2 linked regions of the Drosophila melanogaster genome follow. The protein of the gene in region 2 purifies or fractionates together with the protein of the main gene of each other region. This does not show direct contact. Each region holds a gene or a part of one and is shown on either strand. Other genes may lie near its edges. The genes, in order: Rbp4 and fest.

Region 1 (15,351 bases), on a different chromosome or scaffold from region 2:
TTCTAGTACTACACTCCTCGAATCTAAGCTACAGTATATACCACGCCCAAGGCGCGATACATCGATCCATGCTCACTTACCTGCCAGCTAACGCGGCTAGACAAATTCTCCACAATCAGTCGGTACTCAGTGCGCAACGGTGGGCCATAACGAGAGGATGATCTGGAATTTTTGTTTCTGGTGAATAATTGAATGGATTCGCTAATTAGTATTGACACTGCGCTGCTGCTCCTGATGCTCCATCACAAAAATTAACGGTAATGGTGAATATATTCCAGCATATGCATATTTACATTTGGGTTATGCGCAACAAATCAAACATTTTACATACTATGCGGATGGGTGGAACGTGCAAATAAAAGCAACAATAGTATGCATAGGAAAACGGAGCGTCTTGGAAATGATAATATTAACAGCAAGTCAGTGTCTTTTGGTTCCCTTCCACGCAGAAGAAATCAGCTTATACGATTGCACTACCAAAAGTGTATAAAACTATAGAAGTCAATATATAATAAACTGATGTTTTTTATATATATCGCAAGTAGCTAATATTATAGGTATATAGATTTTGCACGATCTAAGCTGGTTGCATCTGTGTGGATGGAGATATCAAACGAAACAAATTGGCAGTGCTAATTCTAGGGCAAACTTCAACGCAAACAAAGTTGGAGGACGATATCGTCGCTACTTTGGTCCGGTTTTAAGGTCCGCTGGCAGTACTACTTACTTTTCGTTGTAACGACCGCCCCCGCCCCCCCGCCGACCACCATATCGATCGTCGTAGCGGTCGCGGTTGCTGCCACGAGCGGTACCCCTGGCGGGTTCAACAACCACACTGCAAAAATATAGAACATACAATCGTGAGTCATTTCGTACTTTGGCTTATATCTAACAACTCACCGTTCGCCAAGCAGCTCTTTGCCATTCAGTTCATAGACGGCATCGTCGGCATCACGATAGTCTTCGAATTCCTGAAAATTCAATTAGTGATTAGTATTGATTATGGAATTAGTATTGAAGCTACCCTGCCTGTGCATACTCTTATGGAAATACGCTGGGTGAATTTAAGAACAGTTTTTAAGCGTCACTGTATTTGACAGACAAATGATGGAACAAATATAGGTTCAAAAAGAAAAAAAAAGTATTCAAGGGTCGGCTTGAAATGTTAGGAAACCTATAGACAAACAGAGAAATGCAGAAATGTCTTCAAATCAAATTTAACCGATTTTTTTTTTTTACATATTCCAGTTAAATATGATATTTTGTACTCACCACAAAGCCGTAGCCATTTTTGATGAGGATGTCGCGTGTGCGGCCGTAGCCTTTGAAAAAGCGCTCCAAATCGCGCTCGCGCACTCCGTAGGGCAGACCGCCCACATACACTCGAGATCCCACCATGATAACGGTTCCTTACGTATCTGGAGCAGGTGCTATAAAATAGTGAAGTATATATATATATATCAGCAAGGGAACCGTTGCAGTTTGCAGCTTCTATTTTGCTCGACTGTCCTTTAGGAATGGAAGAAAAAAAAAACGCACATATGTACGCGCCGTGTATGTTTCGCCAAGATGGCGGCCACCACATACACACACACACGCTCGCAATGTACCGGGTGTACAGAACCGCTGCAAAAACGAGTTAATTTAACAACGCGAAATACGCGCTGTTCTTCACTTAAGCGTACTCACTAGCACGTACCGTTCAGTGAAGGATATTTGTGGCAAATTTACAATTAAGTCGCTGCCGTACTCTCTCTTTTTCAGGCTTTCCCACACGAAAAAACGCAAGCGACTCGACACAAACGGAAGTGAAAGTGACAGACGAAAGCGATGTTTGACAGTCATTCCAAAGGCGGAATGGAACGATACTTTTTCGCCTATCGATATTTTGGGCGGGCAATGCGTTTCGCTGCGTTAAGGGTATTCCAGTTGCTGTTCGTGTTCCGCTATGAAAAGAATAAACATTAAATATACTTAGTAGTAGCATTTGAATATACTGTTAACAACCTTTTTATTTTGATATCTGCTAGCAAGCACTCATTAGCATTTTTTAACGTTTCTGATTTGATGATATACATAAAATGTTTCTGGATTTATTAATTTATTTCGCACGATGTCTTTTTTTATTCCCAAATGCCTCATAGATCCCGTAATTGTAATATTGATTGACCCTTAGCTGGCTACTTACAAATATACAATTCAATACAAAATAATTTACAAGTTATCTCTTAAAGTGAAGCCTTCCATCGCCCCAGCTAAAGCGAATGCTCGCAGAAAGAGTTATGTAAGCGGTATTAATAATAATACATATTTAGCTAAAAAGTTAAACATATTAAATGTTTCTTGGGTTATCGTGGTAGTAATTATCATAATCCATTTATAAAGATAATACATTCAAATCCGTTTGTTCAGAAATATATACAATAAACTTGTCTAATATTTTTAAGCCCTTACTAGACGAATACAAATTTATATGAAGATATATAAAATCAAGTGTGGCATCAGCTTAATTGTCGAGGAACACCCCTAACGCACCGAAACAATCGTTCCGATTCCACGTGGCGTCCGATTTTCCGACTTTACCCCGTTCTCGACACCTGGTCATACTGCTCACTCCATTCTCATTGTGCGTGCTGTACATTTCATTTATTGCCAGTCTGCCGTCAAAAAAGAACAAAAACAAAAAAAATATTTCCTGCGTTCGGTGTTTAAACTTTCCATCTTCTTGAACAACCAAGGAGAGAATGGCGGAACAAAACGATTCCAACGGAAACTACGACGATGGTGAAGAGGTGAGTTGCAGAATGACCAATTGCTGTTTGTAAATCGTTCATCGCGCGTGAAAGTGCAAAATGTCGACGCCGACAATATTCGTGTATAATATACATTCACGCCGCTTTTTTACCGAATTATGGGGGCCATCGATCCCTGTGCGAATTTAGCCAGCTAAAAGTTTATCGACCTCTTTTGGCGAGAAATATAAGCAATTTCCGATAAAAAAGTTGCCGGCTGTTTGATAAAAAAGAAAACGAAAATTCATACATACATACACATATACGGGCTGTCATGGCGGTGCAAATACTAAAAAAAAAAAAAAAAAATATGGCGAGCGGCTTTTTCTCGCCAGGTAAATTACTATTATAAACAATGGCAAATCCTTGTTGATCAAGGATGATTTTGCACTTTTATCGTTTTATTGACATAAACTTATTGACTTATTGACAGCAACTTATTTTTTTATTAAATTTACAGCAACTTATTATACATTTAAATATTTTTTATACATTTATTCATTTAGATACAGTATGATTTTTTTTTTTATTATATAAATTTATACATTTTTCGCAAAGTTTGTCCAAAGAAATCAATTAATTTAATTTAATATTACAACTTATTTTCGAATCAATGGGTTTTTTTTTTGTTTTTAGAAATTATTTAAATTATAGAACGTCTTTAGCTAATGCATTTGAAATTCACCCGCAGATCACCGAGCCAGAGCAGCTGCGCAAACTGTTCATCGGCGGACTGGACTACCGCACCACAGATGATGGCCTGAAGGCTCACTTCGAGAAGTGGGGCAACATTGTCGACGTGGTGGTGATGAAGGATCCCAAGACGAAGCGCTCTCGCGGCTTCGGTTTCATCACGTACTCCCAGTCGTACATGATCGACAATGCGCAGAATGCCAGGCCACACAAGATCGATGGACGCACCGTGGAGCCCAAGAGGGCTGTGCCACGCCAGGAGATCGATTCCCCGAATGCGGGAGCCACGGTAAAGAAGCTCTTTGTGGGCGGGCTTCGAGACGATCACGATGAAGAGTGCCTGCGCGAGTACTTCAAGGACTTTGGCCAGATCGTGAGCGTGAACATTGTTTCCGACAAGGACACCGGCAAGAAGCGCGGCTTCGCCTTCATTGAGTTCGATGACTACGATCCCGTTGACAAAATCATCCTTCAGAAGACCCACTCCATCAAGAACAAGACCCTGGACGTGAAGAAGGCTATTGCCAAGCAGGATATGGATCGACAGGGCGGAGGTGGCGGACGCGGAGGTCCTCGAGCTGGCGGTCGCGGTGGTCAGGGTGACCGCGGCCAGGGAGGCGGTGGCTGGGGAGGCCAGAACAGACAGAACGGTGGGGGCAACTGGGGCGGAGCTGGCGGCGGCGGAGGATTCGGCAACAGCGGCGGTAACTTTGGAGGCGGTCAGGGCGGCGGCTCTGGCGGTTGGAATCAGCAAGGCGGAAGCGGAGGTGGTCCATGGAATAACCAGGGTGGCGGCAACGGCGGCTGGAACGGTGGTGGTGGCGGCGGCTACGGCGGCGGAAACAGCAATGGCAGCTGGGGCGGTAACGGTGGTGGAGGTGGTGGTGGCGGTGGCTTCGGAAATGAATACCAGCAGAGCTACGGCGGCGGTCCACAGCGCAACAGCAACTTTGGCAACAACCGTCCAGCTCCTTACAGTCAAGGAGGTGGTGGTGGAGGATTCAACAAGGGTATGTTGGGTTATTAAGTGATTTGACCATAATGTACATAATGTACTTAAACCATGCATTTATTTTTTACAGGTAACCAGGGTGGAGGTCAAGGCTTTGCTGGCAACAACTACAACACCGGAGGTGGTGGCCAGGGTGGAAATATGGGAGGCGGCAATAGACGTTACTAGACAAGGTAAATATAGATAACCTGGACGACAGGTCCTATCCCATCGTACAATCTCAAACGCTCGGATCTTTGGTCGTTATTGGCAGCTAGTTGGTAGCCTAGCCATGCAATCAAACTCATTTCGGAACGATTCGAAGCTAATGCAAAATTTTCTCCTCTTTCGCAACTAGGTAAACACACATAGAGAGAGAGAGTGTGTCAGTTCAAGCTAGACGACAAACAGGCAGTCTAGGCAGGCAGATGCAGAGGGACAAGCACATTCACAGGCAGGCAATCAGTAGCATGTGTGTGTCAGACCAGGCAGACAAGATCAGAACCAAGAAATCAAGATGCAGAACCAAGAACCAGGCCGTGCGCAAATGCAAACGATAAATCAATCAATCAGGTTTGGGTCCGGCCGCAACCTGCAGGCTATAGCCATAATCCACTTGTCAAAAGCACCAAGCAAATGATTATGCGTCAAGCAAAACAGCCAAAAGCGAAACGAAACGAAATCCAATCGACGCCACTTGTCCACAGTTTGAATGCTGCTATCTCTCTTTTGTAACCATTAATAATTCGCTGATCGATTTATGTTTAGGGTCCTAAGAACCCCGAACGCTTAGTTTTAACCATAAACAAACAAAAGAAACAAACACAACAAAATATAAATTAAACAATAATTTTATTGTACAAAATTGACTACCAACTGAGCGGCGACGGATTCTCCTTGAGATTCAGTCGTTGTAAGGGTGTTATAAGGTAGAGCACTTTCTTTATATTTATTCATGATTTTATTGTTTTTAGCGATCCAGCGAAATGTAAGAAATCAAATAGTACCATATTTTGTAATCACTTTTTTTGTACAACTAAGAACCTTTATGATTTGTGGCAAGTAAGATCCCAACTCCTGAAATGCGAATGCCACGCACATTTGTGTACAGGCTGCACAGTGGCCGAGAAATGGTGTCCTAGCGAGCAAAATCCATATATGCATACCAACTCTGTTAGTCCCTAAGAAGTAGATGCTACGTTAAGCCAGACTAAAAAGAAAAACGCTAAACAAATATCACAAACATTCTGTAATTAGTTCGTTACGAGTGAAACGAAAGCGACAAAGAGATACAAGCAAAATAAAATCCTAACCAATGTTACCTACCCACCCAAAATGAAACGAAACGAAATAATCACAGGAGCAATGCCCTAGCAAAGAGGAGCAGCAACTGCAGCAAAATCCGGGTTTTCCGATCCATCCCAGATCGGCAGGGTAGCGGGCAGGGCTAATTACCGTCACTAGAGACCCCCACCACCTAACCCCCGGGCAAACCGCCGCATACTAATGCACTGACTATTTCTTTGCAAGACTGGCCGGGCTACGGACGGAAGCTCCCTCCCGGGTCCGTATACGAAATCTGGGCTGCTCCACGCACCGGTTCGTTTCCACCAGGTATTAGTTAATGGTTTTAGACCGCAAAGCAAGCGGTGGCCCAGGAAGAACTCACTGGTGGACTTTGGTTGGTGGCTCCCTTCTGGCTAACTTGGTGGGTACAGCGGAGGTAAGTGAAGGTAACTAGTCGGTATTCTACTAACACCTCATTTGTTTCTGAATTTTTCAATAAAGTACAACTTTTACTAGCAAGAACAAGAGCTGTATTTTATTTTCTGGGGGCGATATTTTATAGGGTTACGTATAAGGGTTTAGGCCCTATCGATTTATTGGCCTATTTGTATCCAATAATGCTGAATCATCTAAAAGTGACAAGAACTTTCACTACCAAGAACAATTTGTTCTATGAATACCATAAATGTTCAGTGGATTATAGCCGGTTTTCGAAGGACCTAGCTTTCTGGATTGTATTACGAACTAAATTCTTATGAGATCAATGGGGTTTTTCTTCTAATAATGCATAAGTAGGGTTTTTTGCTAGGACTACGAAGCAAAAGAGGCGATATTATAGGGATTTATAGGGTTACGCTTTAAGGATTCAAACCCTATCGATTTATTGGCCCATTTGCATCCAATAATGCTGAATCATCTAAATGTGGCAACAATATTTTTGGACCTTTTTCGATAGTCCATAACTATAGACGTTTGGATTTTCTTGCCTGTCATTCAATTTGTGGTTGGCTTCACCTGAGTGCTGTAGTAAATCAGGCTATTTTAATTTTGACATCTCTTCGAAAATGGATGCGGGAAATTGTGCCTCGTCGGCCTGCCTTGGAGATGTAAGCTCATAATCCCCCAAACTATTCATAATTATCAACGAAAGTCGTTGTGTGTGTGCAGTGCAAAGGCGACGGAAAGACGGCCATTAAGGAAGAAGGCTACGAGCATTTGCGCAAGATCTTCATTGGCGGCCTATCCACTCAGACGACCGTGGAAACGCTGCGCGGATTCTTTAGTCAGTTCGGTATCGTGGCCGATGCGGTGGTCTTGCGGGATCCGGTGAGCAACCATTCTAGGGGCTTTGGCTTCGTCACCTATGTGGATCCCAAGTCCGTGGAAATTGTCCAAAGGGCACGTCCCCACACCATTGATAATAAGTGAGTAGTTCTCTAATAATCTTTCGCTGCCCTAATTCTATAAAAAGTTGATTAATTAATTTAGAATTGTGGAGACCAAGCACGCACTGCCACGTCAAGATTTCAAAAGGGGTGGCGGCGTTGGTTCCGTTGTCGGAAGTTTTGGCTGTGAAGCCGGTTTCATGAACTCGAAAAGGATCTTTCTGGGCGGCTTGAAGGAATACCACGATGAGAATATCGTACGCGAATACTTTTCGCAGTTTGGCCCTGTGGCCAGCGTGAAATTGCTCATGGACAGGGAGACCGGACGTCAGCGGGCATTTGGCTTCCTCGAGTTCGTGGATCCATCCAGTGCCGAGAAGGCATTGGGTAAGTTTCCATGTTTCTCATTTATTGAAAGTCATCGTGCATTTTTTTCAACTACCTTTAAGTATGATATAGATTAAAATCTGATGATAACGCTGCTTGCTTTGATTTTCAGCACCGCGCAAGCACTGGATTCTTCAGACATTGGTGGAGGTGAAGAGATCCACCCAGAAGGCCGACAGGCGTTTTCGGTTCCCCATATTTAGCTCGGTTCGAGCCGGCTACATTCCGCCCCAGCCGGCCACTGCTGATAGCTACAATTACAACAATCCCAACTACAATCCCTATCTGGCCCAATCCGTCCTGCCGCCATCGGCATTCACTAACGGCTGGGCCCACTATGTAATTCCGATGGCACCCAAGCCAACACCCGGACAGAACATGGCTGCTTCGTTGCCGTCACAGCAGCTGGCAGAGCACTCGCTCAACGGACACGGTCCGGACATGTGGTCCTCCTATCCGAAGACCGGTATCTACTCGGCCCAGGAGTGGACTTCCAGCAAAGTGGCCGAATGGGGACCGAAGGCCGGGCACAAACATGCCCAGACATCGACCAACGATCGTGCCAAAATCGATTTGAAAGAACTCCAGGCAGCTACTTTCAATAACAAGCTGGATTTCGGCGCCCGTGGCGACGCGGATCGCATGTCGGGAGCTGGCTTGGGATTGGGTTTGACTGGCGGTGCCGCCGTGGGAGTTGGAGCTATTAAGAAGTGGCCCACCCAGGACTATAAGGTCTTCAAGCCAGCTAAATCTCCGACCAACGGAGTGATTCCGAAGATCGGCAAAGAGGCTACAACACCACCCTACGGTTCATTTTTTTCCTTAAAATTTAATTTAAATTTAAATTTAATTTAAGAAAGAGAAAAGAATCTAAAGTATCTTTTTATTCTTGCAGGTATCTAAGTGGCGGACGATGGAACGCAGTTAAACCCAATTTACTGCCACAGTTTAATGCTATTACTACAATAATTTGCAGGCGATTCCGTTCAAGATATTTAATAAATAATAAAGCATACGGGTCCTTTTGAGACTTAAAATCGTAAACTCTTGTTCTTTATTTATACTATTTCTGTTGGTTTTTTTTTTATGTTTGTTTCCATTTAAAGTATTGCATGTATTGCATGAGTGAATTGATTTTTCGCAAATGTTTTATATCTGAAACGCTATAAAACGCACCAATGAATTGTGACTGGAATTTTGTGGGCTGGCTTCTTCGACTGGCTTGTTATTAATTAAAATTATGCAAATTGCTATCGATTGCTCGGCTTTGTGCGCATCAATTTCATTTAAATGCTGAATGCTCAGTAGTTCTTCAGTTGTTTCAACACAAAGGCAAATGGGAATTGGATTCAGTCGCTGGATAAGTAAAGTCGCCTTGATAAGTAAAATTACATATCCTTGTGAGTTTTTCCTTTCAGATTTCTAAATCTACGACTTGGTGTTTCTTTTAAACGCATTTACCAGAAAAGGAAATACGAACCGATCCAAAACAAATGTGTGTGTGTGTTTTTTTTTTTTTTTTTGAAATGAAACAAAATCATAAGTTTTCTGGTAAACACGCTGAATCTTTGTGATTGGTTTTTATTATTATAGTTATTTTGTAGTTGTACACATATAAATTAAATTATAATTAAGTGTTTCCCTCCTTTTCTCTGTACTCTTTACAAACTGCAGTATTGTGATTTCATCGGTTTACTTAGAAATGAGCATGAACTCTAATTGTTTGTTTTTCGTTTACTCTTACATCGATTTAGTTAGTACCTCTGATTTGTATTGTATTGTTTGATGCTGTTTTCATGTTTCTTATTTTTTTTTTTGTTTGTTTATTATTTCTATGATGTTGTTGCTGGCCACGGAGCACTTTCAGCACTGATCGTTGAGCTAAGGTTTGAACACTAACACTTTCGTTTTACAAAAAATGCACTAAAATTGCTTTAGACCCTGTTCACAGTGCTAGAAATGCGTGGTGTTATATAGAAATAGTTGTGGAAATTGCGATTGTAATTGATTTAGCAATTGATTCTCTAGGGCAGGCGTCGAACAACAAAAACAAATGATATGTTCCCAACGAATTAAAAGTCCTTAAGCTTTAACAAAACAAGAATAACTTGGGCAATTATATATATTTGGACGCCTGCGACAAAACTCAAATGATGCTCACACGAATTTAATGTTTTCAGTTTCCTAATCGCTTTTCTGCCTTATTTTTATTTTGCAGCAGCAGTTATATAAATATATATATATATATATTTATGTATATTTAGATTTCTGGTAAGTCTAAAAGTTAACATTAAATTATATGAGTTTTTGTTTTGTTTATATATATTTTGTATATATTTGTTGTTACATGTTTTGCTTGTTTTACCTTGAGAAAAATGTTAGTAGCTTGTGTCTCGTCCCCCAACTATTTATTATAATAGGTTCTTGTGTGTTTATATGCTTCACATCTTCTCTACTCATTTCGTTTCATTCTTTTTTTGGGCTTTTCTTGATTTTATTTAAAAAATATGTACTAAATTTTAGTTCACAACTGCGTTGGAAACACCAAATCGTTTAAGTTGCTTGACTTAGTTTGGTTTACGACCTTGAACTTATTACACAGAACGAATAAAAGAAAAGCGAAAACACTGACCGTCCGTCCGTCCGTTTATTCCTGACCATCGATTGCATCGAACACGCACCCACCTGCGGCGCCGGCACCGCATTTGCCCTCATCACACGCTCTCATCTCCACACTCTTCCGATCCAAACCGATTCGAAGCGAACCGAACCGTTTCGAACCGATACGATACCTATATAGACTAGCTAGTCTGCAAATTAGATTTAAGTAGCAAAAGGTTTACAGGCTCTAAAATGCGGCGGACTTTCTTTCTGGGGCGCTAAACGTCGACGTCGATGTGTGTTTGTGTTTTCCTCGCTTTTCCTCCTTGCGGCTTGGTGCTCAATTGATTTTCCTTTCATTTTCAATGTTTTTTTAAAGAGGTTTGTGTTCTTGTGTGCTTGCTTTGCTTATCGTGATCTTATTTTTGCTTGTTTTTAACCGCGCCTTACATTTTTCTCGTGTTTACATTCCATTTTTTTTTTTAGTTTTTAAATTAATTTTTTCAAGTCTTTCTTTTGCTCTTTTTTATTGCATTTTACAAAGGTTTTTCATTTTTTTTTCTGTTTTTTTTTTTCTCTTTTACTTCTCTTTATATCTTTTTAGCTAAGTGTGTAAGTTTTCCCTTTTAATTATTTTTTTGTTTTTAGCTTAAGTAATGGTGTTATTCAATGAAAAAACAAACAAAAATGTGTTGCATTGCTCCTTTCCTTCGTATCAAACCAATTTCTTGCATCTTGCGTACTTAAGATAGATTTTAGTTGAAGGTTAATGCCAAACAAAAGCTGAAACTAAAGTTTACATTTATGCTAAAATGGGTGAGTGTATGTATCTTGTGTTGGCTTTTGTGTGCGATCGTGTGTTTTGCGATGAGTGTTTTGTGGGTGTGCTTGGTTGAGACTTAAATTTAATACACGTGTTTCAAGGTGAAGTTGATTCCGTGAGTGGGTGGTGGGTGGTAGAGAGTAGCAGTTGCCGAGCTGAAGCTTACATTCTTTTAGTTTTTGGATTCACAACGAAGATTTGCACAGAATTTCGGTATATTTTGGCACGAACTGGCTGGAAAAAGCGAGCCTAACGCAATTAAACTAAGAAGGGACTCAGGACCGTTGACGCAACTCTTTACATCCTATCTTTCTTTCCTTCTTTTTTGTTTGTAGTTCGACGCCCCGAGAGTTGCGCTCAGGAACATTTAAAGGACAGTTGACGTTTTATGTTGCTCCAACTACTTTATCTTAGTGTATGAGTGTGTGATTTGCGTGTGTTTAATTGCATGAGATGTTCTTGAATGTAATTGATTGATTGCATTGTGGAAGAAGTCGATGTTTTTAACGTTGGGTTGTTGCTGCTGTTCTTGATGTTATAGTCGCTACTGCTGCCGTTGCTCATTTGTTGATGCTTTTGCTGATGTCGTGCTGCTGGACAATTCCCTTAGCGACGTCCGTAGTTGCCACCACCACTCTGTCCATTTCCGGCACCGCGCAGCGGTCCGTTAGACTGGTTGTTGCCGCCACCGGTGCGGTTATCCTGGCGCTGTCCGAATCCACCGCCGCCTCCCAGGCGAGGAGCACCGTTTCCTCCGCCGCCGCCCTGGCGCAGATTGTTGCCACCGGCATTGTTGCGCATCATGCCACCGCCGCTGCCATTGTTGTTGCCCATCGGACGCGACTGCGGACCATTGTTGCCGCCCAAACGGCCCATGTTGTTGTTCAGGTTGTTGCCACCGATCTGCTGGCGCGGCACCATGTCGTTGCGGACACGCGGCTTCTTCTCCTCCACATTCAACTTCTGGCCATCGGGTGAGTTCTCCGGGAAGTATAGGGGCTATGAAATGGAAAGAATATGTTTAGATAACCTTTCTGATCACAGTAAAAGTAAGGAGATAAAAGAGATACCTTAGCAATTCCAATAATTAAATCTACTTTCTGCTTAACTTACGCAGTTCGCCAGGCACTTTTGCACCGCCTCAGGATCGTCGTAGGTAATGAATCCGTAGTTCAGCGGACTGCGCATGCCTGGTGGCACCTTGTTGCCAGCCTTGGACAAAATGCGCAGCTCCAGGACATTTCCGAAGCGTGAGAAGATCTCGCGCAGATCATCCTCGCTGGCGTGGTGCGGTATATTGCCCAAAAACAGCTGCTGATTATCACCGAACTGCTGCGTGTTGCTCGAGCGACGCTGCTCAAAGTCTGTAAAGTATAAACAGCAAGTTATTAGGAAGAGTTTCTAAAAAGCGGTACCCAATTTTGCTTATCATATAAGCCAACCTTAAGTTGATAAGAAAGTAAACCAACAAAATGAATCATTACCTTTCTAAAAATCTGAACGTAAGCCAATCATAATAAATTATAAGGGGACTAAAAAAGTAATTCTTAGAAACCACTGTTTTCATTTCTACATGAGATCCAAAAGTTTGCACTACATCTTTTAGTCTTTTTACCCTGAAGCCGAATAGAGGGGAATGACCCCTTTTAATTTAAGGGTGGAACGATGAACTTACCACCCTTGTTGTTGCGGATCGAGTTGTTTCGCTGCGGCAGCGGGCCACCGTTGTCCAGTCGCGAGTTGCCGTTGCTGTTGTTGTACGACGAAGCGGTGGTGGAGTAGCTAACCTGACTGCCATTACCGCCACCCGAGGTTGCCGAGGAAGAGTTATAGGTGTTGCTGCTGATGGACTGCTGCTGCTGCTGTTGCTGCTGGAGCTGTTGCTGCTGCTGCAGTGCGGCGTTCACAAAGCCGCTGGGCGAGGAGGACGTGGACTTGAAGAGATTCGCGTACGTCTTGGGCTCATTCTGCTGCTGCTTGGCGGCCTCGTACTTCTCCTGCTGCTGCTGCTCGTGAATGGTCTTGAAATCCTCGACGGGCGTGGGAGGCTTCTGCTGCCTTGGCGCCACCTCCACTTCCTCGGGCTCAGCCAGCGGTTGTTGCTGCTGTTGCAAAGGCTGCTGCTGCTGGATAGGTTGCTGCTGCTGCTGCTGCTGCGGGGGCAGCTGTGCCGGTTGCTGCTGCTGCTGCTGCTGGATGAGCTGTGGTGCCACCAGTGGCGACTGTTGGAAGCCCGCGCTTGGCACTGGAACAATGGGCAACACAGGCGTGCCGGTCGGCTGCTGCTGCTGTACCAGGGGAGACACGCTGGGTGGGACCAGCACCTGCTGCTGCTGCAGCTCCTCGTGCGACACCACACCGTTCTGGATGGGCTGTGGCGGCGGAACGGTGAACTGCGCGGGCAGTGGAACAGCAGCGGCTTGCGGAGCTGGTGGCAAAACAGCCACAGGACGTCCGGCGGCAGCACCCGCTGGCAATGGGTAGAAGATCTGCTGTGGGGCAGCACCACCGGCCGCTACAGGAGCTACCTGCTGGGGCACCACGACCTGAGCCTGTGGCTGCGGAGGAGCCTGCTGTTGCTGCGGCTGCTGGGCAACTACATCGCCGGCCACCTGCACAGCTTGATCCACAGTGCCACCGACGACCTGCACATCGTGCTCCTCATCGTTCTCCGATCGCGACTCGCCATCCTGCTCGTCCTCGATGTAGAGATCCTGATAGCGGAAGATGTCGTTGTGCACGTAGTACTTCTTCGGCGACTGAGCGGCCAGAACGAACGTCTGGGTAAAACGCCGCATCGGCTGGCCATCATTGGATAGCTCCCCGGTGACCTGAACCACCACACCGTTGCCCAAAGTGGCCTGGGCATCAACCTGGCTGATCTTCGCGTGGCAATCGTTGAAGTTCAGCTGCTGGATTCGGTTGTGGATCTCCCGCTGACCGACCACCAGCTTGGACTCTCCATGGATGTACGACGAGTTGTGGTTATAGAAGCGATGCAAGTGGTTGGGCGCCTTGTTCAACAGCGTGTAGTACTGGCGGACAAACTCGCGTCCCACAGATTGCGGCGAAGGCTGCTGCGATTGGGTCGCATCCATGACCATAGCTGGCGTTTGATTCTTCCTCTCTGAACTACGGACTCTTCGACTCGGATTCTTTGTCTCCGCTTCCAATTTCTGCTTCCCTTCTTTCTAGCTGCTGCTCGGATCTATCGACACGGTGGCTGATCTGTGTCGATTGAGAGTGTGGGAACGTCTGCGAAATAGTGCAAAAAATATACGCGCACTATGAAAATCTGTCTGGTTTTTTTAATAAAAAAAAAGAAAAGTTGGCAAAAGTCCTAGACGACTGTGTAGATTTTTCAATCTGATAATTTGAAATTAAAGGAAGCTGCTACCCTGTTTCTTACAATCTCCAAAAGGTGTTCAAAGATGGCTTATTCATACCTGTGCCGGTAAAAGTATAGAAACCATAATGAATCACTAGTTGTGTTATCAGTTAATTTCATCACGTGTAAATTTAATTTGGAGAATTAAGGCTTGATAACGGTAAAACACGCAAATATAAGAAACAAATTTAATTGGATTTTCAGACTGTCCATTAAATCAATCTGTGCTTCTTTTACATAAATTTCTAGAGAAATGTGACTGACTACCAAAGTGTTGACCCCTGCTGTGCTCTCCAATAAGGATCTAGAGTTTCGCTTGGTCACAAGGACGGCGGGGAGGGGGGGAGGTTTGTACACCCAAAACAGGGAGCTCATTTTACCGCAGTGCATATAAAACAGACGCAGCGCGCTGCAGTTTGACCCACTTTTGGGGCCCACACACATTTGCACATGCGAAAAGGGGAAATTTGGTGTAGTGCAGCTGTCAGGAAAAATTCCAATTTGCTTGCCGTCGCAGGACATTTAACCCTGCACGTGCTCCAGCTTTTATGCCTGCGATCCTGGCTGACTGAACTTTGCACGTGTGTGTGTGTGCGCGAGTAAATGACCTCATACAATTTGGCAAAGAAAAAAAAGAAGCCGCCAAGCGAGGAGCATGAATTAAATTGAGGTTATGTTCGGGTCTCAAGGTTGTGGCGCCGCATACAATGAACTCCAGCTTGGCCAAAATATCAAATTGCTGCCTTGCAAAAACACTTGAAATAGCGTTAAAAGGTGTAAGTAAATATCAATGTTTGCAGGTGTCCTTTGCCCCATTTTAGCCATAAACATTTGCCGATAAAACAAAAAATGCACAATGAGTTGCGGCAAACCCACACGCACACATATTCGGTTATGAACGCGCCGCTCTTTCGGGTTCTCTCTTTCCCACTCTATTTCTGCTTGCGAACCGCGTGTGTAGGAAGAACAAAGAAAGCTATAGTTGAAGAGCAGCATTTAAACAA
Region 2 (17,355 bases):
CATTTCAATTTTTTCCCTGAAAAAGCACCTGCGATGCGCCTGTAATATCGAGTCGATGAAGCGACTCTTTATATTATTGTTTCTCTGCATTGTAAATTAGTTATATCGCCGCTGGCATAATCTATATATATGTATATATGTTAGCGCACGGAAGCACACATCAATCAAAATCGAACGGATATAATCAATCCTATTGAAGCGGGAAAAATCTGTGAAAATGCGAAATTTTATTACTGGTATATGTGCTCATGATGATTATGATTATTGTTATGGTGATTTACCTGTCTGCGCTGCCAGCGGCCACAGTGCGTATGAGTGATGATGTGTGAACGTTGGAAACCAATTACGTAGTGAATGTACACACACATGCCCAATATCACTGAAGTAGCAATAATAGTACAAAGACATTCCCGCCAGGCACAAACTCAATGGAAATGCAAATGTCTACTCTATTTATATTCACTTACTCATTTTGGGACATTTTTTCGATGACCACTTGGTAGTCAGTCGCCTGTAGCGAGTGCAAAGTTAATTTTCCGCCTAGTCCCCCTGTTTTTAATGAGAATTTCGTTGTCAATTCATGCCAGCGTTTTTGTATTTATATAATTTTTTTTTTGTGATAAAAATTATGTAAATAATGCAGGGGAGAAGAATTTGTGTCAGCTTTGACTTTTGCGTTATTTCCGTTGGCCGCTTCTTTCTTTCGCTTTTAATAACAAAAGTCAGCAGTGTAATAGAAAATTGTTTGCCTCATAATGGAAGAATAAATCTGCTAACAGCGCATTGGGCACGCGTTGCGTATACGTAATATGAGAAAATAATTGCTGGCTGCCACTGGCGACTAAATTGCTTTCGAAGCGAGCCCAAAGGCACACACTCATCACCCATACAGGCGCACAACCAAAACGATGAGATTGCAAAAAAGTTTCTTGTATTACCCAGAAAATGATTTCGTTTACAATGGTTTTTCCCTTGTTCATTGGACCCTGCCCCTCGAAAGTCAAAAAAGCGCTGCCTTTATGGTCCTGTTTATTGGCCCTCCTGTTGACCAAAACATTCGTTTGGTCTTCCATCGCATTTCCGTGCACATCCTGGAGTCTTCAGTCACGAGTGTCCTGAATCTCGAGTCTGTCATAGGAATTGCTCTGCTGATGTTTCTCGTTTTGCACCCGCCATAAATCACTATTATCTGAGGCAACATTTTAATGACTTGGGACATTTGCATACCCGTACACCTGTTTACCCGTGGGGCGGACAGGGGGGCGTGGCCGACCTCTTAACTGTGCCAGCCAAATTGTAGTTCAAGGACTTTGCAATAAGCCGTTGGTCTTAAAGGCTTCAATGATGTCTGCAGAGCAACCGCAAAGTCCCCGGTGCGCAATTCTCGTTTATTGTTTCGGTAAATTTACATTTGTTTTGAATGACTAACGGTTGTCCTTACGAAACGAAATTTATTGTCTGCCAGTCCCAAAAACACATATAAAATTAAGGGTATTAGGCAAAACCTAACTTTATCTATCTAGCATGTTAAATGTTCCAGCATTTTTCCCGGAAAAATCTGTGCCGCTGGATGAAAGGATTGTGTATTCAGAATTTTCGTATGTGGCCGAGCAAGAGGAAACTCATATTCCAATTCACGGCTTTCGATTTTCCACTGAAATCACTCAATTGTGTGAATGCCCAATAGCACAGTACATGTGCCATAATTCGGCTTTTGCTGCTCGTGTGCATTTCCATGTTTGAAGAAAACTTCCAATTTGCAGAATATTATTTATGGCTGATTTGAACGAATTTTAGATCATGGCTATGGAATTAGAGCCAAACATCATTTTAACTCTTTGCTTTCGTTATGAACTAAACCAAGGGCATTCCGACTTCGCTTCGGCTTTTCATCGCTCCTGCTGTTGACCCGCCAAAGCTGTTTTTCACTTTTCCCGGTGACACATGCCCACCCTAGCAGCCTTGGATTCTTGGAATCTCGCATGCACAACAAAAATGGCAAAATAGCAAAATGGCAAAATGGCAAAGCCAGCAACAGGGCCAAAAACATACAAGTGGGCTCCGTCGCCTGTGGACGGAATATGAATATGAAATTCCGTCGGGGGCCCAAAGGACCTGGCTTTTAATTGTGTGTCGGAAATTATGTTTCACTTTTCCCACCTCGGGCGCATCATCAACCAGTCTCGACGGTCTTTTGTTACCCCAAGTAAAAGTGGCCCGAGGCAAGTTTCTACTGCAGTGTAAATTGGGGGCATTCCGGAAAACATGACTCCTGCGAAAAAAGGAGCACGACTTCGTACAGTTGAATAGCTGGGATTTTTTTCTAATATTTTTTTTTTTTAGCAGCAACTCGGATCATACAGTTTTAATTGGTCTCTCTTGCAAACATGCTTCGCTTTAAAGGGTCATACAAATTTGAACTGAAACCACTTTTAATATAAAATATATTTTGTTTTGTATACTTGCAGTATCTTTGGACTTCAGTTTACAAGCCGCGCTATCGCAGCGTTTAAATTCGATTTAAAAAACAATATATCTCGACCACACACTACACAATTCAACTACAAATAAGATTTAGTAATTTCCTCGGAGCGACGACAACTTCGAAACTTGTAAACCTTGCGGCTTGCAATTGCAAACTGTGCAGCAAGGCGCCTAAAGTCCTCAGATTAAAGTGCAATCTAATTGATTGGCCAAGGACCAATCAGGGCGTGGAGCAGAGGTGCAACTAGGAGCTGGCACTGAATTGTAGGCGGCTGGTGGACTGATCTGCGGATGCATTTCGCTTGGACGGGGGCCCGACAAAGACAATACGGAGGGTCTACGGAGTGCTTTGGCCCGTTTACGCAACAGAACGGGCCCCTCTCTTCCACAACAACCCACCCCGCCGGCCTCTCCCCTGCCCCTTGCCAGCACCCACAGCAACGCCCACGGCCACGCCCACGCCCACATCGCGGAGAGAGGCGCCGGTGGCAGGTGCAGCAGCTATTGCCAAGAATCTTCGCCTAACTCCGCGCTCGCTGCCCTAAAGTCAAGTGAAGCGGGCCAAAGAGCCGCTGCATCAACAGGATCTTCGGTAAAAGGATCTGCAGCAGACGGTAGCCACATCAATGGCCTCGCCCATCATGTAAGTACTCAATGGCTCAACCGCAGATATGCCGCAGAGAATCCTTAGCCATATCTGGGGGAGGTAACAAAAGCTAGACTGAAGCCGCCATTGCCGAAGTATTTTGTATGTTACACCTGACACCGCATAATTCCCCAAAAGTGCACCGCAAGCTTGAATTGTTATATATATGATGTGTGATAATATTAATATTTAAATTGGTTTGGTATTAGAAATATGTACATTCAAACTTATTGTCAAATGCAAATACCCATTTTAATGAAGTCTAAAAATGGTCGAGCTTTACATTTATGAAATTCGCTGGAGCATTGGTAAAAGGATATGACAGTAGGCTCCATTATCAACTGGCGTTTCGGTCAGGTGTTAACTGAAATTATTGTGGCAGTCTCGTTATTGGTAATTCGATTTCCACTTACTTCACCCTATGTGGGCCGCAAATTGGTTTACCCAGGGTCGAATGGAACAGGGTCAGCACGTGAGTGGACCCGAATTTAAAGGACATTTCCGAAAACAACGACACCGACATAATTGCGTAACAACATTTTACCATTAGACTTAATTAAACCGTCGTTGAAAATAACTGCCATTGGCTGTTGAATGTGGTTGGGAAAATGGTAAAGTCGCAGACGGAATCTGCTGCAGAATCTCAGACAAAACCCGGCAAGAAAATGGGAGACACTTGAGCTGGATGGCAACGACAACATGCTGAGGAATTTTAATGAGATTTAGGGTTTGCATTTAAAGCGATTTCACGCATTGCAATTCTGGCAAAGGCAGCGGGTTAATTAGAATTGCCTTGTCCTTGCAAATATAGCCACCATATTATACCGCGAACCTTTTTCACCCAAAATCAAATGACGACGATGCTGATGATAGGTAGCATGTGCCAAATTTGCCATGGCCAAAATCAGATCATTTCTGGCCAAAACCAAAAAAAAAAATAGACACGTAAGACCACAGATTGCAATGTGAAAATATTGGAAAATTTACCATGCCTGCATTTCAGCTGGCCGAAACTTTCGTTATTGGAGAACATCGGCCATCATCACCGTTCCATTCTTTTGCCAATTTATAAAGCCCTTATTTCGGACCGGGCCAAGTGGATTAGGCCGAAATATTTGGCCTTCGGCGGGGGCTTTTGTTTGACTTTCCGGCCTGCCAATTCAAATTAGAGTGTTGAGAGGGGATTTACTCAGCGGCTTAATTAAACGCCATTATAATAATGTTGACGCTCGCCTGTTGTTACATTTCAATTGTTATTGCCGCACAGTTAGAAAATATTTACACACGGGTAATCGAATTCGTAAGAATTTTACAATTTTAATCTATATTCCTAACTCTTTAATAGAAAAGAAAAGAAAAAAGGGATTAACTGTACTTAACGTAGGCTTGCTATGAATTTCGCTACTTTCTTAATTAGTTTAATTACTTCTGATGAAGCAGACGTTTTAGAGTGCCCCAATCTACCTTCGAATGAATTCTATTCATGAATAATTTATGAATTGTGTCATGATATTGGCAAGCAGCATTTTTGTCATTGATATACGATATATACTTGAAACATGTCGTTCACAATCACCCTTTCGCCAATGCCATGTTGCGTTTATGGGTTTTTGGGGGCTAACAGCTCCGCCAAGGAGAAAACATCCATTGGGGACCACTCACTTTGAACTCCCGCTCAGCTCAGGTGGCTGGTCTGATTGATTTGATTGCTGTCACCTCAGGCTTACGCATCCGAACATAGAGATTCGGATGAAGTGCTCACCATGACAGATGGAGTTACTCAAATTCGTATGTATTTTGCGTTTATCTTGCCGGTTGAATTTAAGCCTCTTATCCGCAGGGGTAAATATTCATAATTTTTCATTTACCCCCCGTGGGCCATTCGTTTCCCATTAAATTAAACGAAGCTGAATTTTCACGCAGTACGAATGGGTGTATCCTTTACTGTCTGCCGTCTGTTCAGTTTTGGGATTTTCCTGGGTAAATCGGTTAAAATGCAATTATCGTCGGCAGTTGCAGTGTTGCAATGCGATGGCTCTTTCATTTCGACGGAAATCGAATTGATTTGCTGCATGACCACAGAAGAAGACAGGTGAAACGAATCCATGCGACGATTTATGGCCAGGAATTAAGCCTCATTGAATTTGTATTAATGTGAACGTAATACCGGTGGAGCGAGACTCGCATAATTGAAGAGCCCATTAAATGGTAAAATATAAAAATTGATGTCTTGCCTATCCAGCCCATTCCAACTTTTGTCGGAAATTGAATTTGATAAACTTTCTAAAGGCAAAAGGCGGAAGAAGAGAGGAGTTTCTAGGCAGCAATTAGTCCTTTTTGAGAGGATGTCGATGGGTGGTGAGGAGTGGGGTGGGGGTGGCTTGGGCTTGAGTTTGGGGTTTTGGGTGGAAAACTCGGTCAGATGAGATGCTACGTGCCATGCGTCAGCTGGAAAAATGGGAACCAAAAAGTTTGTTTATGCTTAGACTTTTTGGCCGGGTTCTCAAATTCGGGACCATATAGCACCGGAGCTCTGGCTTCGACTGCTGCTGTCATTCAAGTGTTTTAATCAATTCTGATTTAATTTTACGCCCAATTAAGTGTGAAAAGCGTTTGATGTTGAGCACGGGTGCGAGAGGCAAATGGCACCGTATACGCCCCCCGTTCCCATCCAACGGATTTTTCCGACCAAGTCACGCAAGCGTGAGCATTGAATATGCCATATGTGTGTGTGTGGGTCTCGCCCTTTATGGCTCCCTAGCTGCTGAGCCACATAACCTCGGATTCAGGATTCAGCCGGGTTCGGGTTGCTGGGTTCGGTTAGCGACTTTATTTAATACGCAGCACTAGAGTAAACGCATTTTTAGATGTTTGTATCCGCCTGAGCTGGAGACACTCACCATCACCGCCGCTTGAGTATCCTTGCCTTGTGGCTTCCGCACCTGCCCATGCTCACCGCCTCGCTTACGCTCACCCGCCATTTCTCTCTGTGTACCCGCTAACCATGGAACCACTTTCTTCCTATGACAGAGTCAGCCGTGGCATATAGTTCCGCCCCAGCATTATCCACTAATCTCTATCAACAGCCACTGCCAACGGGCCGCTCCTCCGGCTCCAACTCCAGGTTAAGTCTGTTGGAGAGCTTGGTCTGCATGACTGCCGATCCCATATCGTTGTGCTTTTGGATTTGTTTGCAGGTAAACATGAAGACCTCTCATCTTTTATAATATTTGTATATGAAAACCTTTTTTGGCAAACATTCAATTACTTTTAAACGTGCAATTCATTCCTTTAAATATTTACATAGCTCGCAAACTCTTTAAGCCCGAAAAGATTTCAAGTCCTGATGGCCCTTCAGGTGCCACAACTCCTCCAACAGGGTTGTAATGTGAATTGTAGTCGTTAAGCAATTTTCTTGTACTTTTACAATGCCAGAGGAAAGGTATGAGGTCATATATGGTTGCCAGGAGCCGCTGAAAATTGTATCTCGATCCAGATTTAACCCATGAGAATTAACAAAATTATACGAATCTATTACAGTAGCGCAGATAGAATTTACTTTATTCAGGACTTTCATGTATTACTTTTTGACATCGATTTTTGTGCACATAAATTTCGATATACATGAGGATTAAATTTAGAGTTTTGAAGATTGTTGTTGTAAGGCTACACAGGTATAATTGCAAGGCGTTTCACTTTTTTTTTTTTAAGGAATGGTGTTTAAAAGTGTGCACGTGTTTTAACTTTGTTTTCAAAGACGACTGCCTTTTTCAGATAAGCGTTTGTTTCGTAAGCTAATTAATTGTATTCCATTTCAGTCACAATTTCTCACTTTGGCCTGTCGTGTGTGTGTGTGTGTGTGTGTGCTTGTGCATGTGTGCGTGTATCTGTATTCCACGAGTGTGGTAGTGGTACTATTCCGTCTACACTTGGAAATTTAAGCACTAAGTCCACTCATTTTACATTTTACGCAACGTTTGCGCTGTAGAGTGTGTGTGTGTTGTGTGAGGATGAACATGGTTGGATTGTAGTAACTTAACTAATCTTAACTGGTAACTTAGAACTAACTGAATTGTCACTGGTGTTACGTTGGCCAAAGCAGCCGTCGTTTGTTAGCTAATTTTTTATCATGCAGAGGCTAATTTTGATATCAGCGATTTTATCAATTTTTGCTTATTTTTTTTTTTTTGTGGAAATTTTGCAACTTTCGATTTTCAATCTTGCTGAATTTGTTGCATTTCAAGTACGTGTCGAACGTTTAAAAAATCGTTGGAAACTTAATTTTGCTATACTGTGAGGGCCGAAAAGAAGCGAAACGCGAACCAAGTTCATTCTTTTTATAACACCAAACGCTGGCCCTGATCGAAATAGCATTGTCTTGGCCAGCGTTTCAGGCAACAGGTGGATTTTCCAGAGCCTATTCCACCTGAATTGCCTGTACTAAATAACGGTATGCGTATAAAAACAAGGATATCGAGGGCTAGAGAGATTGTAAGTGTGATTATCTAAAACTAATTCCCTAGTGTTTGCGTTGCGCCTACGTCGAGCAATCGAAAAGCAATCCTTCAAGGATCAGGATCGCCAGTTTTCGTTGCTCGCGCATTTTTTCGAGCTGTTTCATCTTAAATGCAGTTATACATTTATAATTTTTTTTGTTTAGAAGACCAGGTTTTCTTAAATGATCTGATCCCTCTCCACGCCGAGGCCCCAGTTTTCCAATGTTGTTTTGTTTGGATTTTTTGATTTTTTTTTTTGGGGGGGTCACTATATCGACGCTTGAGTCGGTTTGCGTGTGTGTGTTTTCTGTGATGTGTGTGTGGTGGTGGTATAATGGGGTGATTTTCGATTGCCCACGCTGGGTGGCTATAGGTGGCATTTGGATGGCCACCCAACGCGATGCACATCCCATGGTGCGAGCGGTACTTAGTAGACAATGAGCAGGTTGTTTTCATTGAATCCAGCCGAGTGACCAGCATTGCGTACAATGAAACAGGATCCGTCGAAGTGCATGCGCTTCTCATTACGACTGCAAAAAAAAAAAGAACAAAAGGAATCTTCAAATATCCGATTAACTGAATTACTGCAAAAGTATGGAATCAATTAAACACTATCAGTGTTATAATCGAATAAATATACGACGAGAACAATGCATTCTTCGAGTGCATCATTATTGCAAATAGGTGTGGATGCAGTGGCCAACTCACCGGACGAACAGGTGCGAGGTCTTGCCCAACGAAGCCGTGCAGTGGATGCCGGTGGTGGTCAGGGTGGCGGATCCATTGCCCGGACTGGTGCGAATCAGGCACTTGCTGTGCTGGCGGCTGACCTTGACCAGGCCGTCGGCCGCCTGGGTGATGCGGAATCCATTGATGTCATACACCTCGGTGCCGTCCTCGGCGCAATTGTAGGTGGAGTTGGCGATTACGTCGTGGGCATCGGACACAAAGGATGGGCCGTGGCGCGAATCGCTGGAGGGTGTTGTTAATTGGAAAGAGGAGCTTGGCGAATTGATTTGGGCAAATTTCGTGCTTAACTCACTCATAGAACACCGCCAAGGTGTAGTCCTTGGTCAGGTCGGTGAAGGTATCGGTGGTGGTGCGAGTGCCAGCTGTGTCCACCAGATAGATGAGGGCACAGGACTCGCTGGTGAAGCTAACGCCCTTGTACCACATTTTGGCATAGCGACTGGAAGAAAATGATTGCAGCTATAGTTGCATAGATTTTATACGAAAATCTAATGAGAAGTACAAGTTTAAATTCCAAAATACTAGTTGTTTGCCACTCTTAAAGTAAAGGTTCGATTCTACTTCTAAGCTTACACAAAGTTGTTGGCCTTCATTCCGTCGTAGGTGACGATCTCCACCTTGGAGCCGCTCTGCAAGATGCGCCCATTGGGATGGATGAGGGCAGAGTTGCTGCAGTTGCGCGATAAGGCGGCGGCAACCATGCTGCGCTGATTCAGCACACGGACAGCCTTGTCCAGGGTCATGTCAATGCTGGAATCGGGAATGATTTGGAATGATGATCAAGGGATAAATCTCCTACCACGTTCACTTACCGAACGCCCTCGCGCAGGCGCAACTGGATGGTGCCATTGGACATGGCAATCGGTCCAGATCCTGGACACGGTGGTGGTGTGTTGTTCTCGAACTCAAAAGTGCGCGAGCTGACGCGATCCATAGCAAAAGGTGGTGGTGGCATTGGCGATGGGAACTGCTGGGTGTGATGTGCCTGTGGCTAGGTAGATATCGCATATTTCTAAAATACGAAACACGGGGCAATAAATCAAAGCACTTACCATGCAGTAGGCTCCATCCACCTCATAGCCATAGCCAGAGTTGAAGCGTCCCGTTAGACTCTTGCCGCTGCGCGTAATATTGCCGGCATCCATGTTCCAGCCCATGGTCTCGTAGCCGGCACCAGATTGCGGCAGGACTCCGAAGCCCGAGTGGGAAGATGCGTGCATGCCCATATTCATGTAGCTGCGGCCGCAGCTGTTTGTCTGGCTGGAGCACTCCTTGGCCAGGACGGAGGTGCTGGTGCCCACGCTGGCGCTGTTGCCCATGCTGCTGCTGCTGTTGCCGCGCTCCAAGCCGCGCTTCACTCCGCCAGTCAGCGAAAGGCTGCTCATACGTGGAGCCAATGGGCTGTTCATCGATGACACAAAGCGCATGGTGGCTTGCTAGGGATTGGTAAGGGAAAAGGTATCACATGGTACATCAAAGATCACTTGCAAAAAATGGGAAGAAAAGATGACTTGCAAAAAATGCTAAGAAAATATGACTTGCAAAAATGACTTGCAAAAATCAAAGAGACGATTTTTTGCATATGCCTTCAAAATGAAGGCAATCCTATGGAGAAGTGACAACTCTACTCACCGGCGATGGGTTGTTGTTGGTGAATACGGAACGCTGGCGCACACCATTTGGAGCCTTGGTGGGCGAGCGCAAGATGTTATTGATCTTGTCGTTCAACTGGGCGCGGGACAAGAAGTCCTCGGCATTGAAGATGCCAACGCGGCCGCTCTTGGGCGTGGCCAAGGGGGCGGGGCCCGGTAGAGCCAGCTCCTCGACATGGGGCTCATCCAGGGCGCCGGAGTGCTGGCACTGCACCTCCTTGGTGCTGCTGGTCTTAGGTGCAACGGTGTCCTGGGCGTCGGTAACCATTTTGTCAAGATTCGATTGTTCAAAATTTATGGGAAAACCGTATGGAATCGAATGGGTGATGGATGATGGTGTTGTTGTTCTTGGTTGAAACGGGGCCTGGACTTTGGTATGTGGATCTAAACGAGAACGGCACACGCGGCGTGCTGGACAGCGAAAATCAAAGTACTCTGCTCGACACGGAACACAACGACTCAATGAGAGGAATTTAATTTTTTACTTTTTATGACTTTTCAAGAGCACTGCTCGCTGCGACAATTTTCGAAAGAATGACTTGCCTCAAGTGCCGATGGAAGGATGTGCCATCAATTCTGACACTCACTGGCCTACCGGGTTTTTCGATAGTTGAAAGTGTCGTAATATCGAGTACACGATACTTTACTTTTCCCTTCGTCCCTTTGAAGCCCTGGCACTTTTAGATTTCCCGTGAAAGTTCAACGTATATCCGATTAGTGCTGCATACTTTTAGACGGCAAAAAGCTGATTGAATTCAAAATAACGCATTTAAGGACGACACTGTAGTGCAACCCATCTCCTCGCTTTTAGTGGCCGGAAAACGAAGTTTCGCCTTCGTAATTGAATCGAGAAATAGACTTGAACACACGCACAGCAGTGCAGCTTCCAGCAATTTATTGCCGCTCATTTGTATAGTTTCTACGCAGCTATAAGCTGCAGCAAAAGACTTAGGCTTTAAGATTTATTGGGAAACTGCATTTTCCGAACGGGAGAAAGTGCAAGAGAAAGTGCCGTCATTCTTATCGATGCTGGTTAAATGCTGAACAAGTGCGCAGAGTTGCAAAGTTTTGAAGCGTTGGCAGGAAATGTCAAGAGTCAGATAAAAGTGATGTTTGCACGTAGCACAGTTTAGTACTTTGCTAATAAAAAGCTATCCCCTTCTAAATTGTTGCTTTAACGTGGCTTAAATATGTTGTCAAAGTCAAACAATCACGCAATTTAAATGTATTATACATTCAACTGAAACTTTTAAATTGACATATTAAATAAGAACTGGCATTTAAAGTTTCTGCGAAATGTAAACTGCTCTTATAGAACTTTCCAGTCGAACAGCTACAAATTTTTGGATTATTTCTTAATGAATAAACACTAAAATCATAATATATTTTAGTAATAGCTGCTCAATCGTTTTTCTTGTCAGTTATTAGCCATTTTATTTGCCTGAATGTTGACATATTAGCCACAATTTTGGCAAACCCCCAAGGTCGTTTTATTTCCATTTTTGTGGGTTCACTAACTCACCTTCAGTGTGCAAAGTCCCTGAACTTCCGGAACTATTGTGTTTTTTGTATACGACTGTCAACTCTTTCCGCTCTCATGATTGATTTTGCCTCTTGATTTCAGTTTTTTCTTGCGCGGATTAGTTTGTTTAATGAGCGCATTGACTCCTTGCATTTGGCCATCGGCCCACGCAGATTTAGATTGACACTTTCGCCATCATATCTATTTAAATGGACGCGTTTATTTAGACACTTGGCTGGCATATTTTTTAAATTTTATTTTTGGCACTTGGTCGGATCATTAAAATTCAGCCACTGCAGCTGCAATTCCGCCCACGCATCGCATTGACTCAGTTTTGAGCAACACCAACTGAAAGTGAAAATGTGTAATATATTTATAGCAGGAATGCAATCGCATATGCATTCAATGAAATACGGAAACTCATTTGTAAAAATCACCCCGTCCACCGAAGTGATTTTTCCGTTGTCACTTTCGCCAGCCGCAAGTGAAACAAATTGGTTAACCTCCTTTTTCAGTATTTATCGTTAAAAATATTCGCAAATATTCAGACAGCTGAAAATTCAGATTTTCAGCGAGCGTCGTTGGAATAGTTTGCTAAATTTTGAATTCAAGTTGTAATTACGCTCGTTTTGTAAAGGCAAAGGCACATTTGATATGAAAACTAAAAGGAGAACATCAGCCAAATGAATAGAGAAAATTCGCTATTACTTGCCGAAGCTCGTTAAAATGTGGAAAACTATTTTCGCCTTCTGCAGTCAGTGAACTTTGGCGCAGACAAAGATCATAAAATCCATACTAGTGTAGCGGCTATATATAGAAAGTGCATAGGACTCCGACTTGGCCAGTGTTGCAATCTTTGACGTCACCGTTCGCGTGAGTGGCAGTGCCAGTGGTAGTGGTGACCACTCAGATTGATGAGAAACTTATGGCATAATTGAAATGGCTTTTAAAATCCATTTGTTCAGCGCCTTCTTCCTTATTAAATCCTTAGCAATTTTCATTAAAAACAATTAGCGCCAACGACGCCACTTGCCTTTGTCGACAATACCAGCCCCTTCAGTTTCTACTGGGGGGCAGGAGGTGCTCGGGAATTGAATGGACTGGGTTGGAATCGGTTGGGATGGGACGGGATGGAAATTAATTGATTGTCAAGATGAGGCAACGGCAACCGAGCTGTGTAAACAAATAAATGTGTCTGGTCATTCAGCGGGAGATCTTTGTTGTCGCCTCTAGATGATAATGCCGCCCCGCTGTCAGCTATGGAATTACACTCACCCACTATATATATATATATATATATATATATATATATATATACAGATATTCCGAATCCGATGCACATACATTTACGGATCTCAACCGACAGGCACGCGACGCTAAAAGCCTCTCGGCTTGACTTCCATCAATATTTTGGCATTCCCGGCATTATTCTGGCCGCGTCGAATTCCTTGGTGACTTTTCTGTTTACACAATCCCCTTAAGTCCCGTGCCCCCACCTCGGCCCCCTGCAAGGTGATTCACAGGGATTTCCTGGAGACGAAGAAGCCACCACCTACGCGTGCCCAAAAAAACAAAAAAATAAAAAATTATATGAAAACAGATTGAAAGGTTGGTCAATTGGTGGTCTGAGCCAAAAGTCTGCCGACTGCCAACGGCCAACTGCCGCCGTTTGACGTCATCGGCTCTTCGGCACTTGCCAAAAAATCCACCCATCTCATACGCTCGTGTCTATGGTCTATGGTCTATGGTCTTATAGTTCATCGAAAAGGTGTGCCAGGCGGTTTTTTCCCCATTTTTTTTTTTTTTGGCTTGGGTTAAACTTTTGCAAGATTTAATGTGTGCTGGCGCTTTGCCCGCGTTGTCGGTCTGAATTTCACGCTTCATTGATGGGCAAATGTGACGTTGTCGCGTCTGCTTTGATTTTGATAAAATAGGCCAAAGTGTTCATCAATAATCATTTCTGTAAAGATCGGTGAGCGAAGCAATTATTTTTACAAAATTTACAAAGAGCCTCGCCAACGAATGCACAAGATAAGTTGGCTCAGGCATGGCAATCCATTCTTTTTTTTTGTTTTGAACATCCTTCACACATCAAAATTTTAATTTTTTTATTTCTACTTTTTAAGAAATATTATGTCAACAAGTTATGGGAAATACATAAGCCATGCACGTGATTTTTGCAACACACTTTAATTAGTTTTTATCAATTTAATTGGATTTTGTCAAGTAGTAGGCAGCAAAGTCGGCTTTTGTCGATAAAATATAGTCATTAAAACTTAAGTGGGATGTTTAAATGAATAACGTTTATAGGAAAAGATAGTTTCCACTTTTAAGGCCATTGGTAAGTTTAAAATTCAATTCATGTCATTTAGTAAAGAGTCATAAAACCGCACCGCCAGCAACCGCAACTTTATTTATTTAATTTTAATTACTTTACTTAAATTTTCATTTATCAAAGAAAACCGCACGAACTTGGCACAGCCCCTAGAATATTCCTCATATTTTATTCATTGGTAACCCACATCGAAAGCCACTGTACAAATTTATACATAAGAATTGTGCAAAGAGCCAGGGAAACGCGGACGTGCCTCTTGGCAGGTGCCACGCCCACTTTCCCGAAACTGTTCTACTTTCTTCTGTTTTCTTTTCTTTTTGGGGTCCACCTTGCTTCAAGAATCCCGAGAAGGTATAAATCAAGTGGCTTTCACTTCTGCCTGTTCCGCCTTCATATATATTATATTTTTTTTCTGTTGTTTTTGGTGCATATTAATTTGGGGAATTTTGTCAAAATGAATTGTATAATTTTATAACACATCCTCAGAGCTTTATTTGATGAGCCGTGTCTATAGAAGCGGATATATGTATATGTATGACTCGCATTCGAGTGGAATAAACTGTCCGTTTAATAGAACAATATACCCCGGATCGGACAAGGTATCCGCACCCAGAGACAATTACAAATGCATTGGCAATTGCAGAGCAGAGAGAGAATGGGTTCCATAGTTTCCGGGGCACGCATTTCGCTCGCTTTGTGCCATTATTTTATTTCCAATTCCCGGAGCGGCAAAAGAATCGCCCAGACACGCCGTCCAGACGGACGGGTTCAACGCACTGGTTGGTACTGATGGAATCATCGGGACACCCAGCCATTGTTGACTGCCAATTGGCCATAACCAGACCGAGCGTCGAATAATCACAATCGGACTGAACTATTTGCAATTCCCCAGCCCCAAAAGCTGAACATCTAGCGCAGACAACCCGCTGACTCAGAAATGTGGAACCATTCCCATTCCCATTCCCATTGGCATTACCATTTCCATCGCGTCGCAGCAAGAACCCATCACTATGGCCATCCTCCCGAGAACTGTCAACATTCCGTGGCGTCCTCATTTCGTGGCGAGTGAATTTACAATTTCTGCAGCGAGCACACCTTTTTGCAGTTTACACGAAGCGAAACAAATAAACGAAGTGAAAGTGATTTTTATTTTCTGCCTATAATTATGTTCTTTGTTTTATTTGAATGGCTTCTGATGCAGTCGGAGCAATAAATATTTATAACAAGTGTTCCTTTCATCTTGATCTTAATTTTTTTATGCAGTCAATTTTTAATTTTAATGGAAGATGTCCTTTCTATTGCGATAATAATATTATTTATTATTAGTTTACTTGACAATATATACAAATGAATTGACCATTTTGTTTCTTAACTTAATTCAGAAATTTCACATTGCGATAGCTAATTTCTCGCAGTGCAGCCTGTGAGGTAAAATTCCCGTAGCTCTCTGTGGGGGCCGGATAACTGCGAATACGAATGGGGAAAAAAATGAACCACAACCGCTGCCCATTTTCGTGTGTCTCCGTTGTTTACGGTCCGTTGCGGTGGCCACCGCCAAGTGCACATCTTCATCCTCCATCGGCCATTTGCGCCACCCACACCTCACTGGGATCGGATCACCTCAGCTCGATGGAGGCGGAATGCTTTCAAGTTATTTCTCAGCGCTGTCTTCTTATTGGGATCAAGTCAATATTTGTCGAGTAAAAATTACTTCCTGCTCCGAAATGGTGGCATCTCTTAAGTAGCCCCATTCCACTTTGATGTTTGCATTCCTGCCGCCCTCTTAATTTACGAAAAATTACAAATAATTGTTTGTATAACTTGATGAGACCAAAAACGTTTTAATTAGGGAACGTTCCACATTTTGCGACCTGCAACTTGCCTTCTTTTAATGAAGAAAGTTGTTTTATCTTTCATGTTTTAAGAAATACAAGCGCAAGTTTAAATAAATACTATATGTTGTGTTTAACTCATGTACCTTTTAAAGGTGCCAACTTCTTCTTGTGTATTTTATTTCTATGGAAAGAAATTTTAAATTTAAAATTTAATTTACTCAATTTTTTGTTATTAAAAACTTTTATTATCTTTGACGGTTTTTAATATTAACGATACATCTATATGTATGGCAAGGTATGGTCACCACTCCATCCAAAATTAAAACATATTAAAATTCAAATTGAATTATTTTAGTGATGGCTTGTTCGTGGGAGAAAAAAAATGTGTAGGAAACCGGCGTGTCATTCAATTTTGCAGAGCACATGTCCACTTCGGGATTGAGTTTCGATTTTTTGCTGTCTGGCCGGAAGGGAGTTAAACCGGAAATGCGAAAGGGGCGGAACCACCCACTTCGCACTTGTCAGTGGGGGCGGGTAAACTTGGCCGTTGTGCTTGTTGTTGTCGCAGCTGTTTGTTTGTTTGTTTGTTGTTTGCTTTTAGCCAGCGCCAAAAGCGTGTCAAACGAAACTGTTAACTGGAAACTGAAAACGGGCGGGCGTTTTACACATGGGTACTTTAATGCGTGAAGCTCGGCAAACACAAATTCAGAAATGTGTACCCAAGAAGTCAAGGACTCAGGAAAGCTTTCAGATTTATTCGTTGCAACACAAATGAGGCAAGGCAAACAAACAATCAGTCGAACTGATTGCTTATCCAAAAATTATATTCGATTCGCGAGGCTAACTGGCCTGCATTTTTGGCGGCCCAGCCTTCAAACGAATTTACATTAGAATTTTGCCAATCGCACTTGAGTTTTCAACTATCAACACGTAAAGATGTCAGCGAATCCATTAGAAAGACGCCATTAGCGTCGCCATTTAGTGTCATTAGCTGGAATTCATAGTCGTTCTTGAGCGCGTGGACATGCCGGAACTCAAAGGCGACCTTTGATCCAATGATGTTGGCCTAAAAGCTTGGCGGTCGCTGCAATTACCGTTGTGGTATCCTGCATCCTGGATCGCAGTCACGCAAAACTTTGTCAACGCCTGCAATTGGCCTCGAACCGCAGCAATTAGTTGGTGTGGCCTCGTTTAATGGCCTTGTAATTGGTTATCGGCAGACCCTACTTAGTTGAAAGGTATCTGAGTTTATCACAAAAAAAAGCAACTTTAATTGGGGCAGTTAGATGTTATAGTAGGATAAAGCGGACCCTTGTTAAACTCATGCTTTTGGAAGTGGGTTTTTCCAATGGGACAAGCAACTGCAATCATATGTTGCAAGTTTGAAAATATTTTGAAAAAGTGCATTTACCCGATATCTTGCTACTTTTTTTAAAGACATTTTGGTAAGGTATTGAAAGCTTTCTATTCACTATGGAAACTGGCAAAGTGCCACGATAATCAAAACAATATGTATCCAGGGGCTAAGGAATGCGATTTGACCAGGACTTTTTCCAGGAATAATAGCGTTGTGTATACCGCTGCCCCCACTTCCATTTGTCGAGTTCCTAACCCGACCATCGTGTCCATTGCAGC

The links.
Region 1: the proteins of fest (region 2) and Rbp4 purify together in Drosophila melanogaster (affinity purification with western blotting; one study listed by BioGRID). This does not show direct contact.

The regions. Positions count from the first base shown.
Region 1 is NT_033777.3:13,647,781-13,663,131, reverse strand, and holds Rbp4 (RNA-binding protein 4), read left to right. Parts: upstream 1-6,737; 5' UTR 6,738-6,827; coding exon 6,828-6,869; intron 6,870-6,930; coding exon 6,931-7,187; intron 7,188-7,251; coding exon 7,252-7,535; intron 7,536-7,647; coding exon 7,648-8,343; intron 8,344-8,430; coding exon 8,431-8,438; 3' UTR 8,439-8,576; downstream 8,577-15,351. Other genes in the region: B52, read right to left, coding at 81-177, 728-835, 901-971, 1,273-1,398; Hrb87F (heterogeneous nuclear ribonucleoprotein at 87F), read left to right, coding at 2,745-2,792, 3,484-4,495, 4,568-4,665; rin (rasputin), read right to left, coding at 11,566-11,958, 12,073-12,323, 12,635-14,063.
Region 2 is NT_033778.4:19,335,025-19,352,379, reverse strand, and holds fest (wurstfest), read right to left. Parts: upstream 10,572-17,355; 5' UTR 10,297-10,571; coding exon 10,009-10,296; intron 9,813-10,008; coding exon 9,429-9,812; intron 9,368-9,428; coding exon 9,189-9,367; intron 9,127-9,188; coding exon 8,950-9,126; intron 8,816-8,949; coding exon 8,669-8,815; intron 8,599-8,668; coding exon 8,335-8,598; intron 8,157-8,334; coding exon 8,054-8,156; 3' UTR 6,626-8,053; downstream 1-6,625. Other genes in the region: CG34045 (uncharacterized protein), read right to left, coding at 17,192-17,355; Rgk1 (Rad, Gem/Kir family member 1), read left to right, coding at 6,283-6,327.